Linked DNA regions of Drosophila melanogaster. The protein of the gene in region 3 interacts with the protein of the main gene of each other region in a pairwise test. Each region holds a gene or a part of one and is shown on either strand. Other genes may lie near its edges.

Region 1 (5,281 bases), on a different chromosome or scaffold from region 3:
ACAAGAGTCCATATAGTCGTAAGATAACCATAATATTATATATATGTTTACATATATGTACAACACGAAAGCTAACCAAGCAAACCACATTACATAACGTAAAGGGCAATATGCAAGCCAAACTCAGTTTAAATCTATGTTTAAAGGAGGAAGCGGGAGAACCCAGATCCATATATCATGTGCTAGAATTTCTCCGTAGTTTTAATGCCTATTTTCTTATTTAACAATCTAATATTCCCCTATTATTATATTATAAACATACCATACAATATTGATGGCTGCACTACACAAACATGTTTACAATGTGCTATGTTCATAGTTTTTAGTTAGGTCTTTTCTAAAACAACTTTAAAGATGTATTTAATTTTATGACAAGAAATTTATATTTTAAAGAAACTTTTTAAGTTTTTCTACAAGCAAAGCCCACAAAACTTTCGAAAAAATCTATATATGTATATGGTATACAAAAGAGAGAAACACATAAAAGAGTGTATAAAATGAAAAAGAAACAAAATACCGATTTGAACTAATAAAAAGTACTAAGGAAAATCGTAGAAATATGCCTGTTTTTAAATTATAAACAATTAAAAAGGAAGAGAAAAGTGCATTCCAAAATGTTCTTTATTTTGAGATAGGCTTGTGTGAAAATGTAAAAAATATTCAACGTTTAATTTAGACATGGTGCACGCGGCCGATGTTGAAAGGAGGACCTTGGTTATTCCGTTGATAGTTCCGATGACTATCCACACAGCCAGCCTTCCACCGCCCACTGTATGGAGAGCTGAAGTGTGGCGAGGCAGTCGGAGAATAGCCCGGCATGGTTGAAACCTCTTGCCTTGGGCATTTCCAGGGTGCAAACGTAGAAGGCGGAGCACAGCTTCCCAAACTCACAGCCGTGCCGCCGGAATTTCGCGTGCTATTGGACGATCTGTCTTGCCTTTCCTTTTGCTTCGGCTTCGGAGGAATCTTCTCCAGCTGAGCAGCAGGGGAGTTGCTGCAACAGCAACCGCACGGACTGCAGCAGTAATTGCAGCAATTACGACAGCCATTGCAGCAATTCGCGCAGTAGTAGTAACAGCCGGTGCAGGGATTATAGTACCAGGACCAAGGACATTGGTTCGAGCAGGGCATGCAGCAGGTATTTACTGGAGCTGGAGCATGATTGCAGGGTACTGGTGGAGGATTCGAGGGTGCTGGTGGAGGATTCGAGGGTGCTGGTGGAGGATCTTCGTTTTCCCTGCGAAACGCATTAATTACTCCTTGATGGAAGTGGACAGAAGTGGGTACTCACTCAGGCAAATTGGCAGAGCAGCCGCAGGTGCGCATTTCTTTTGTCGGAGGCGTTGGACATGGTTTCTTGCAGTTACACGGGCAGTGGGCATCCTCGTCTTCTGGTGTTTCCTGTGGTGATGCTACGGTACCTTCTATTTCGTTGCTGCTGTGCTCGCTCATCTTGTTCTTGACTTTTGAGCCATTCGATTTCTTATTCTTCTTGGCAGACGGTTTCGCTTGCTTTTTGCTCTTGTCCTTGTCCTTCGGCATCAGGAGGTGACACCACTTCTGCAGGTCACACGGAGGACAGGACTCGGTGAGGCTGCAATGGATACGGAAGACATTACTTCGTGTTCGATTAAAGATGTGTGCCGAATGGTGGATTGAGTAAGCCTAATTCGAGAGCTGTAATAGCTCACGAACTCTGACATTAAACTCACCGGCTGAGAAGCTCAAGGCAATTCTTTTCCTGCGTCTTCTTTTTTCCAGAGTTCACATTTTCTTCCGGTGGACAATCAGATTCTTCGGAAACGTAATGAGGATAGTATTGATTGTTGGGATCGAACCGAGTGCAGCAGCATTTAGTGGATTTCTCCTTCGATGGTTTAAAGCTTGATGGAACTTTATTCGAATTTTTATCCTTTTTGGGTCCTGCCTTCGATAAGTTTGGTGCACTTGCTGCTTGCGTTCTATTCACGTCATGTCCTGGCTGAGCATAAAAAGGATTATGGTCTTGGACAAATGTGGCATTAAGTGGAGCGCATTCATTGTACGGATAATACTGATTGGATGGATCAATGCCCATGCCCACCCTCTGCTGGTCATAAAGTACGGGTTGTCGATTGGTAGGTGCTCCTACAGATTTATTACGATTTCTTGAATCGTACGATCTGTTGTTATCACGAGAACGCACTTCACCAGCGGATGCCATTGACTTGGGCGCGGACCTATGATCTACATTTCTATCTCCACCACTATTAGAATGATAATTGGTTGTGGCTCTACTGGCTTGTGGTTTTCCGGAACGACCTTCCCTCGACTCATTTCGGTGACTGAGCGACTTGGACCTCTGAGCACCTGGACTAGCATGAACATTTTCAGGAAAATTATTATTGGCATAAGCTCTGCCTGATCGATCTCCCCTAGATGGGCTTCGTTGATTTGGAGATTTAGATCTGTTGTTACCATGAGGCAGTTGCCCCTTTGATGACTCCAATTGGGGAACTGGCCTTGAATGTGTGGCTTGACTCTGCTGGTTATAGACTTCAGATCTGTTAGCACCAACATGAACTTGATTCGTTGATTGGGGAACAGTATAGCTATAATTCTGATTGTTGGGCTCACAGTTCATTGGTTGATTATTTCGGCCATAAGCTGGTGCACTTCCTCCTGAGGTAGGAGTGACTGGCATTTGATTTATTGGACGTTGTTGGAATGTTGCATCGAATGGAATATACTGACTATTGGGGGCACAGCTCATGCCTAAACCCTGTATAAATTGATTATAGGAAGGTACTTGCGCCGTTCCTTGTGGCCTTCCAGGTGGCATTTGGCGATCTCCGCATTGGTAGACTTCTCCGGTACAGGGATTAAACTTATTTGTGTACTGTGTGGGTAGACCTGCCGCTGGAATAGATCTTGGATCACCCTGACCTACCGAGGATGGTGGAGCCACTGGTAGAACTATGGGACCAGGTACACCAAAGCCTCCATATTGAGTCGGTGGCGGGATACCAAAAATCATTGGATTTCCTGTCGGTCCGTAAGTTCCATAACACGGAATAATAGTCGGTTGTCCCGGTTGGAAGCCAAAGCCTGTTCCGTAGGCTCCAGTTCTAGCTAGATCGTCTTGCGCGCAATCTTCAGGATTCTTGCATCCATTCTTACCATCTTGACATGGATTCTCACAACTCTCCGCACATGCATCCATGTTTAAACACGGATCCTTACAATTGTCCCCACAGGCTGAGCAACTTTTCGATCGTTTCCTTTTCTTTGGGCGCTCTGGCGTCTTTAGAAGAAAACTGGGCGGCACCATGTCCGAAAACTTTTGGAACTCCCCAGAAAACACGACGCGACAATTCCTCATATTAGAGGAACAAGATCGCTCACAGCAACTTGGTCGAGGACAGCACCTGCGGATGAGTATAAATGCAATTGGGTTGAGACACTAACTATATTCTTATACTTACCAGCCATTGCCATGGCAGCTTATGCACCTCCTTAAATATCGACATGGATCGCACATTTTCAACTCCTGGTTCTGTTTAAAAGTCCACCTTCACTCATGGTCAATTACGAAGAGTACACAAACATAACATCGGTAGTCAAAATCATAAAAAAGTAGAAGTAAATGGTACAATTTATATTTTTGATGTCCTAAACTAAGACTATATTGTTAAAATCATTGCATGATCAGTTGTGATAAAACAACGTTTTGAAAGTGGTGCTACCATCTTCATATATGTGTTCTTTACAGATTATAATATGATATGAATATAAGAGAAACCTTGTAAACAAAAAGACTTCCTTGGTTTATTTAACTTACTATTTATGTCGACCAAAACTCTCTTTTTAGTTTTGGTCAAAAAAATGACATTACAAAATTCTTTGTCACGCCAAAAAACAAATTTAAACGGAAGCATTGTATAACTGAGACAAAAAATTGTATTTGGGAAAAAAGAAGAAATGCCCAATGACGGAGTCAAGTCAACCAGGCCCAGTCCCTATTGGCGTCATGCGAGTCCTCCTCCGAGGAGGAACATAGCATCGGAGCAATACAGCAATCGAGTCGGACAGCAGCTGGTGCGAGCCCTGGCTCAGAGCTTACCGTCTGGACAGGAAGCCGTGCGTTCCCGATCATCCTGCCCACCAACACCTCGTCGTCGCCGGCAGGCAAGTGTCTGCAGATCGATGGGAAGTCCAGAGTTTGTGCCATTGATGTCGCACAGTAAGCCCAAGGCATCGGTTCGATTGAAGGCGGGTATGCCGGTGAAACCAGTGTTGGGAGGAGATCCACCCAATTCAAAGACTCCTGGTCAGTCTATGATGGCCTCAGCCAAACGTCGCAATGAATCCCCCACAGTGAAGGCAAAAAGCAGGGAAGAAGAGTTCAATAAGATACCAGAGCTGGTTAGTGAGGCATCCGTCGCCAAGGCCAGAGAAAAAGAGTTCGAAAAGATACCTTCCGGAGTTCCGAGTTTGACCGAAGAAAACAAGCAAACAGAAGTGAAAGACACAAATAATTCAATCCCGGAAACGCATGAGAACTTGAAACCGGAAACGAAAACCAATTTTATAATAGAGGAAGAAAAGCCCACAGAATGTATACCAGAAACGGAACCGAAGCCATCGAACTCGAAGATAATTCCCTGCTTTCGAGGAGAGTATCCCACACGACATCGTCCTGGTACTTGCCAATGGTTTCAATCCGACGTCCCCAATTGCGGAAATATCGTGACCATATGCGATGAGGAACACCAAATTATGGGTGAAGCGGAAATAGTCACCGCTTGCCAGGTTACCGAAGCACATTTCCTCAGCCTCGATTGTGAAAATGATAACATGAACAACGAACCGCCATCGATTTCGAGGTGCAATAAGTGCACGGGTTGTCCGCAGCAACAGAATGGTAATTGGTTTGGACAGCAACGATCTTGTCCTCAGCAGCAACAACCTTGCTTTCAACAGCAACAACCGTGCTTTCAACAGAAACCATCTTGCTTGCAGCAGAAACCATCTTGCTTGCAGCAGAAACCATCTTGCTTGCAGCAGCAACCATCTTGCTTCCAGCAACAGCAACGAAATTGTGGACGAAATCCACCCTGTCCCAATGTGAAACCAAAAGGATGTCTCAAGTGTCAGGAGCAGCAGCAGTCTGGCAAAGCATTTGCATACAATTTGCAGCAGTCGATGCAGCAGCAAGTTCTGCCGCAGATGCAGAATGTGTATCCTTGTCAGCAGCTTCAGCAAGTGAATACCTGTGATCAAATGGAACAACAAATGCAAC
Region 2 (3,264 bases), 7.7 Mb from region 3:
GTCGCACAAATAAAAACGATGCAATTAAAAAGGCGCGCGCGTAGATCCAGTCAGCTGATGATGGTTTCGGATTGGCTGGAGTTGGCCAGAAATATGGCCAAAAAGGGGTGGGGGGGGGGGGGCGGTCATCTCCAGGGGGATCGGATCGGCGACTGGAGACGGCGGCATTCGGGTAAATTTAAATATATTTTTTATATGCACTTTGTTGACTTTTTGCGCTTCGCCGTCGTTTAATACCGCTCGGAATTCAGGAATCGGAATCCGCTGTGCCGAAACTAGTTCGTCGCAGAATTAGTGCAGTAAATATACACAAAAGTAAAATAAAAATAAAAATAAAAACAAAAACACAAGAACATGCATGACTGTGTGCGGGTTAAATATGTATGTACCTGCTTAAATAAGTTTTATTTAGCGTGTTCTATTGAAAGGACAATAAACTCTCGGCGAAACGTCAAGGTCGACCACATCGCATTAGAAGACTGCGGATCGATTCTAATTCAGGTCGCATTTGCGTCTAAACATCTGTATCTGTGTTCTAAAATCAGATATTTGGCTAAGCAAATTGCATTTGACTATTATCACTAATCAAAAACCAAACCTTCTTGAAGCTTACACCTCATATTTATTGTCTCAAATACCTATATTTGTGGTTCACGAATATTAGATGAATACGAGGATGAAATAGGGATAGGTTCTATCCTATCGTCTTGGTGTTCTGGTGAACCCTTCTTGGACATGGCCAGTTGCAACTGTCTAGCAGCAAGGGTATCCACAATAGCAGCCGCCACAGGGTCCACAGGCATAGCATGGTCCGCAGACATTCGGTCCATAGCAGGGTCCACATCCTCCTCCGCATGGTCCGCATGGACCACAGCAGGGTCCGCAGCAAGGTCCGCAGCAGGGTCCACAGGGTCCGCAGCACATGATTAATTCGTAAAAGTTCTGAAGGGAGAAAAGGTACGTTTAAATGATATGCCATAGGAATTTTTTACACATTTTCATTTTTGTAAATTTTCACTTATTTTCACTCACTTTGAACCGAACAAAAAGAAATAATTTGAGACTAGACGACAAATTTTGATGTGTTCAGGCCGAAAGGACAAATAATAATGATACAAAATCTGGTTACGCACAGGTATATCGGTTTGACAAGTCGGACTGAAGAGGCAAAGGATACTATATAAAATATTTTGTTTAAAGCATTGGCTAAAGCTTATAATGATTGTATTGTAAGTAGGGAAATGCTCAATCTTCATGTGAATTAACCTTTATATTTCGATCCTACCTATGTAGTTATCATCCAACTTGGTAGGAACGCATCAAGTTGCCACTATTTTTCCAGTGCACTGTAACATATAAACGAGGTAAATGAGATTTAAATTTTTGTTTTGTCGGATCATGTGTTCATTGCACCCGGCTGAAGTTCGAATCGCTGCCGGTTCTCAAGTCGAGTTCTGCGCTGCACTTTTGTTTACTCTTGATTTTGTCGTACTTTTTGATTAAGTGCATGGCGCATAGCCGATTGCCGATTGCCGAGAATCCGGGTATCGGGGCTGAACGGGTATACTATATATGCAAGTGTATATTAAGTTCATTATCTGACCGAAGACTTGTGTTGCTTATGTTTTTTATTTTGTTTTTTCTTGGTTTTTTTCCCCAGCCGAATCGAGCCAAGAATGTCGTCGCATTGAAAGAGGTCAATCACCAGCGATTGCGCCTTGGATGTCACTCGGTGTAATTGAGCGCAATTTATTTCATTTGCTAACGATTTTACGATTTCGGATTTAATTAACTCCCGAAAAGCAGGAAGCCTAGTGGACCAGTTGACAGAGCTCGCCAGCCTCCAAAATGGAACCCTAGTGTTATACACAATGATTATACAATGATTTGTATTTGTGCATGACTGAGTCAGCCGGAGCATTCGGGCAGAAAAGTATGGGTTGCAAATAAAAAGCGCATAATAGGCGTTTAAATGCAATTTTCTTCGCAAAATGGTCGGGCGAAATATCAAAAATTCGAATTATATGTTTTGCCGCATGTTGATTAGAATGTATGTATGTATTTGTGTGTGTGTCGATCAGCAGAGGCAGAAACCGAAGCAAAAACCCCGTCGTCAAACCGCACAGAAGTCCTCTCCCTTCTAGCAGAAATATTTGGGTAGAATCTCGCATCCGAGGAGACGGACAAGTCCAACTCAAAGTCGTTCTGTTTCGGCACGGTGAAAAATCACTATCATAGAAAAAATATATAGCGTAGTGACGAAAGGCGTCTCAAAGAAATGTGAACAAGAGTAGAGTAAGATATATTAAATACAAATCTAGCTTATATTACAAAGTGTCTAATATAAAGTGAATCAAACTTAGTTACATAAATCTAGTAGCGAACTTAGTGACGAAGCGCGTCTCAATCGAATCGGAAAGCGGTAGCAGATTTTAAATAATTATTTTCTTACCACCTAAATGTGGTTAAATGACTTTCATTGAATTTTTCTCTCTGTGGCTCTCTGGTTTTTTTTTTTCAAACTCGAGATGGATGGAACTCTGGTCAATAATTTTGTGAGGGTGCCGCCAAAAGGGCAGCAGACGCTGCTCTAACTTAGTTTTTTCGTTCATATTTGTGGCTGGCCTTTGTTTGAAATAGATTATTGGCAATACATATGTATACAAATATTTTGTATTTCGTCTGGCGACGGGAGTTCAAGGATTTTTATTGGGTTCAGTGAACCAAATGTCTTTCCTCCGGCCGGAAATATCGAATTCGCTTTAATTATGGCCCCTCGCATCAACTTATTAATATAAGTTTGATGAAAAGTGAAACACAATGGGCACACGCAGATGTCATCATCATCGGCTGGAAAGCGCTGAGTACTGCCAGTCAGCCCAGGGAAATCAATATCCGCCTATCCCTAAGTGTGCGCCATAATGACTTTAGGGGCGTGGCCGTCAATGGGGCCAAAGGTGAGGAGCGACCGAAAGGGTAAACGGCGGATTCAGGTAACCCGAGAAGCCGACGAAAGTGAAGAAAGCACGTGCCGCCCCCTAAAAAGTGGCAGCTGATCGCTAAAAAGGAAAAGTAAGGCGCAGTTCTGAAAGTCGGATATATGTACATACATACATAGTACTCTGATGTTAACTTAAATATTATTTAGATGTCTAAATCAAAGTTGAAGAATGCTGCAGCTCGTTTTCTTGCCGATCAATTTGAAGGTGCACAGAGGAAACCTGAGAATCCAATGGAAAGTGGTAATGGTAGTTCTGGGCACGT
Region 3 (4,944 bases):
GTCCCAGATTTCGAGGGTGCTGCTGGCAAAACGGAAAGCCAAATTCAAAATCAAAACATACCCAAAAACGATACAAGCAGCAGTATAAATATAACATGTGCCTTCAACCACCCACAGGAATCCCGGGCACAGAAAAAACAGAAGATGCGGATGGGAAGTCGAGCTGTTTGCAGGTGTCCTGCCCATCCCCTTTCATTGCCCGTGTACTCGAGCACGGAGTGTTGCACAGAGACACTCGGGGGAACGTGCCTGGTTGGTGTGTCCTGAATTTCCCCCGATTTCAATCAAATCAGACAGCTAACCATCAAAGTGATTGCGGACTCATTGGGTGTGGGGCCGGGGTCTAAGTCAGTTGAGTAATAAATATCCCCACTCACCAGACATATCCTCGCTCTGATCGTCATCCAATCGCTCCTGCATTTCCTCGTCCCTCTCGTAGCTCCACTGCCTGGGATGGCCGAAAGGACCACTTGGCAGCTTGTTGCCCGTGAACTTGTTCGGATCCAGTATGTTCTCTACGGAGAAGGCCAGCCGCTTTGTGGCCGCATCTCGATCACTGGAGGCACTCGTGGAGGCCGAACTCGGATTCGCCGCAGCACTGCTGTTCACCGATCGCGTCAGATCCACTGGGCAGACCTACAAGGATATAGGGGAAAGTAGGGATATAGAATTAAGTAATGAATTCATTGACAGCAATTATTGCTCTTTATTTGCTAGCAATATTCACCACTTTGCATTGAATAAATCCTACGTTTAATTGCCAAACTGATCTTAAAAACTAATTGTTTTGAATAATTTTCTACCTTGTAAAGATGGTTTGTTGCAAAAATGAGTCAAATAATTATTTCGATAACAGCTTTAATTAAGAACCAGTTGCCTTTTCTTGGTAAGTTTTTAAATTGAGTGTTGAAAGGAATACCTTAATCACCGACTGGTAAACTACTTAAAATTTGTGTACCTTAGTTGTCCTAGGTGATATAATTTAGTTAAACTAAAATATAAAAAATATATTTGGAAAAGTATACCAATTATAAATAAAAATCTATAGATATAAATCAAATTCCTCAACATACCACACGCTTAAAAACAAAATGAAAATCTCAAAATCGAGCTATAAACATACAAAAAGGTTAATTTTGGCATATTTTCTCGACCAAGTGTTAATTGGGTTAATTACTCGAACGCAAAATCTAATAAAAAAGCTAATTGAGCAGAACATAAAATCAATTTGTATTAGCCAACGCTAATAAAAGCTACCAATTGTGTGGGCAATAAATATCAACATTAATAATAAATTTGCTATTTAAGTTTTCAAATTTTCACTAACAGCCTTCATTTTAGAACCAGTATTTTAATAAATCCATTTTGTATAATTGGCACACCTTAATATTAAAATCACAAAACATTTAATCTAAACTTTTTCTATATGATTTTACGAAATCCTTGCACTTAGTGCACTGAAATCTAGTTATCTTACCGACGGCGTGCTGTGCGATCCATCGTTGCTGTCCTCGTCGTTGCCATCGACGTTGAGCTCCTCGCTGGTGTCGCTCCTCGCGTATGTGGCTGCTGCAATTTGACGCGAGGTGGCCGCCGCAGCAGCTGCCGCCGCCGCCAGGCCACCCAGCTGTATTCGGAATCCGTAGTCGCTCAAGTCGCGTCCACTGGGCGATCCGGAGCTGGAGTTGGAGATGGAGATGCTGGCATTGGACACGGAGTTCGAGGCGGACGCCAAGGCGGAGGTGCTGGAAGCTTGAGTGGTGCGGGCTGCCACCGCAGCCACCAGCTTAATCCGCTCGAGATCCATGTCCGATGGTGCGGCAACCTGCTGCTGTTGTGGTGGCTGCGAGGAATGTGGCGGATTTTGGGGGGGAGCGATGGGTGGACTCATCTGCTGGTCGGAATGCATGGCCGGGGATGTGGGCGGCGACAGGGGCGAGGTGGCCGGCGAGGGTGGGGCAGTGCTGCTGCTGCTGGGAGCCCTCAAATGAAAGACCGCCGACGGATGCGGATGGGGATGCGGATGAGGGTGTGGATGCGGATGCTGATGCGAATGCGGATGTGCGGGATGCTGGTGATGCTGATGCTGATGATGGTGCATGTGCTGCTGGGCGGCGGCCAGGAACTGCGGATTCTGCAGCAAGTGGGGATGCTGCTGCAGCAGGGCCGCATGAGGATGCTGCAGTGGCTCCGGCCTTGCCAAGTGGCGCACAGCATTCAGTTCCAGGAGCTTTCGCTGCTGGGCTGGCGAGGAGAAGCTTACGGATCCCACCGATGCTGGAGGGGATTGCGAGCGACGTGTATTGCTGTTTGCATTGTGATTAGTTAGACTGTTATTGTTGTTGTGATTGGGCTTCTCCTTATCCTGGGAGTCCTCCTGCAAGGGGCTCAAGCGGCTGAGCAAGCTGCCCGATTCACTGCTCATCTGCTTGAGCCGTTCGAGGGAGTACCTCAGCTCCTGCTCCTGTTTTCCCGCCACCGCTGCGCCATTGGCGCTGATGATGAACTTGGGTATCTTGGCCGCTGGCGGAGTGCTGCCACCGCCTGTGCCGGACACCACACTGTCCGCACTCGCCACATCCGGCGAGGTGTTGGACTTGGGCGAGTCCGGGTTCGAGTTGGGACTCATCAGGCCACCGACGGCTGTGTTTTGGGCTGACGCACTATCGCTGGCCTTTTGCGCCGGCGATTGCAACATGACCATTTTTGGGTCTTTGGATATATTGTCTTGGATTCACTGGGCGTTCACTGAGAGTTCGAGTTCACTGAGTGTTCACTGCGCGTTGCGTGTCTTGTCACCTTGAGGGCAGCCAATCGACTGAATCCGGAGATGCCAATATCCGACGTGGACGCTGCCTATGCTGCCGCTGCTGCCGTCGTCGTCCGACGTCCGATTATCCTGGTCGTAATCCGCGCGCGACGACTCACACGCTCAAGAGCCAGAAGCGTAATGATGAGGGTTGTTTCCGATTTCTCCGAGTTCTTAATCCAACAGATGTGCCGTGTTGTGTGCCTGTGGCAAGTCAATAGCTAAATGCTGATGCTGCTGCTGCTGCTGCTTCTGCTTCTGGTGGTAGTGCTGGTTATGGTGGTGGTGGTGGTGGTGGTGGAGGCAGTTATCGTGGTATGGTGGTGGTTTTTGCTTTGAGTGACTCTCTGTGCGGCGCTCTACACGCCCACCGCTGAGTGGTTCTTTGAGTGGATTGGCTCCTCCCCGCCGTGGCTCTAATCTCTACTAGCATCTAATGATTTAATTTGCCTTCCACTCGTTAGCAAATGTAATGGTCTGTCGCAAGTCTAAGCCACAGAGCGGCAGGATGCGAGCGCGTGAGAAGAGGAGAGGAGAGGAGAGGAGAGGATTCCGGAGTGCTGTTTTACATAGTTCTTCACTCAACTGTAATAGCCACCCGATGGAAACAAAGGCCAGCCATACAGCCACGCAGCTAGCCAGCCAGCTGTCCAGCCATCCGTGCAGCCTTCGCCTCCCGAGGATGTGAGTAATTGTCAAATTATTTAGCGCAAAATTTGTTTGTTTATGCGGTTGGGTGCTTGCGAAATGGATCTCAACTTTTTGCACATTTCTCTCAGTTCTTGTTTTTATTTATTTGTACTATATGTTTTTCTGTTTCATATTTTCGCCAGTTGTGTGTTGAGTTTGCTTTGCTTTTGGCATGCCTGGTTTGTTCTTAGTCATTTATGCATGAATGCTTTGTGCTTTCTTCAGCTTAATTGAATTTTTGAATATTTTCGTGGCCGTAATTATGTTGCTAATTAGTTGGTTTATTTACTTTTCGCTTTTGATTTCTTTCTCTTTTATTATTCGAACGAAAAAAAAACACATCCTTGTGGTTTTTCTCCTTGACACTTCCTATGTAAAACTCAAAGCGTTCGAGGGGGACAGCCACACTATAGCCGTGCTCTTCTGCTCGCACTCTCTCTCTCTCTCTTTCGTCGGGCTTCTTTCTCTCTTACTCCTGCGCCTGCTCGCTCTCGGAAAATTCTTTAAAATTGAACAAAAATTTATATGCGCTTTGGCACAGACGATTTAATATCGCATCCAATTTGCGGTTTATACGCATCGCAGCAGTGGCCTTCAGTGGGGCGGGCTGGGTGGTCGAGGGGTGAATGAATGGATAGCTGGATGCCTGGTTCACTGGGGATAGGCCACTCGGCTCTGGGGGTTTTTCTTCTGATTCGTTTTTGGTTGTGGGGACAATGGGGCGTATAAGTGACATCGTTAAATGGACACCGGGCGCTGCTTAATGAACTCCAACGCTGGAATGTTGGGTGTTAGCTACTGCTTCTATATATCCACTGGCTTCACTTCGCCGCTCGTTAGCAAGGCTCGTCTTCTTCCTTCTATAATTAACCGCAGATCGGGGTGGCGAAGGGAACTCGGATGCTTAATGAGCAGCTTGTTATGCCGTTTTTCGTTTTAATTAGTTTTAAGATGCTGGCCACCAACACCAGAGCGTCGGGCACTCATTTTAATTGGCCCATTGATGGCGGAATCTCGTATATACTATACTCCGCACTCAGCGCATTATCACACTCGGTTGCTCATCCACGACAGTGGGACATCATCCTTTGGCTGGGCCCGTTTCTCGCTGTGTAATAAGTGCTTAACTCTTTACATGCAAAATTAAATGATGCGCATACGCACGGTAAAACCGCAAATTATTTTAATTGCTTGTCTCGTCATTATTCATTATTTAAGTGCGCTCAAACAGCCGACGTATACGGAACACGCTATAGAATGTCCATATACATACATATGTATGTGTGCATGTATGCATAAGTGTGAGTGTGTGAGTGGGCCGGCAAAATTGGCAGTTCGCCAGACGCACACACGAAAGCCGCTGTTTACATAGACATCAAACTTTTGGCGCTGCGGAAAAGCGGAAAATTGCTCTTGCTGTCGCATGTGGCCTTCTCTCCCTCTCA

The links.
Region 1: the proteins of slou (region 3) and CG17666 interact in a two-hybrid assay, tested with the Drosophila melanogaster proteins (one large-scale study listed by BioGRID).
Region 2: the proteins of slou (region 3) and Mst87F interact in a two-hybrid assay, tested with the Drosophila melanogaster proteins (one large-scale study listed by BioGRID).

The regions. Positions count from the first base shown.
Region 1 is NT_037436.4:12,779,701-12,784,981, reverse strand, and holds CG17666 (uncharacterized protein), read right to left. Parts: upstream 3,658-5,281; 5' UTR 3,521-3,657; coding exon 3,465-3,520; intron 3,408-3,464; coding exon 1,713-3,407; intron 1,679-1,712; exon of another isoform or gene 1,595-1,678; coding exon 1,292-1,594; intron 1,238-1,291; coding exon 673-1,237; 3' UTR 605-672; downstream 1-604. Other genes in the region: CG10969 (uncharacterized protein), read left to right, coding at 3,961-5,281.
Region 2 is NT_033777.3:13,826,547-13,829,810, forward strand, and holds Mst87F (Male-specific RNA 87F), read right to left. Parts: upstream 1,463-3,264; 5' UTR 1,286-1,462; intron 1,141-1,285; exon of another isoform or gene 1,033-1,140; intron 943-1,032; 5' UTR 925-942; coding exon 754-924; 3' UTR 605-753; downstream 1-604.
Region 3 is NT_033777.3:21,554,155-21,559,098, forward strand, and holds the start of slou (slouch), read right to left. Parts: upstream 3,029-4,944; 5' UTR 2,705-3,028; coding exon 1,478-2,704; intron 637-1,477; coding exon 378-636; intron 1-377. UniProt on the Drosophila melanogaster protein: May play a role in specifying the identity of particular somatic muscles and neurons of the CNS.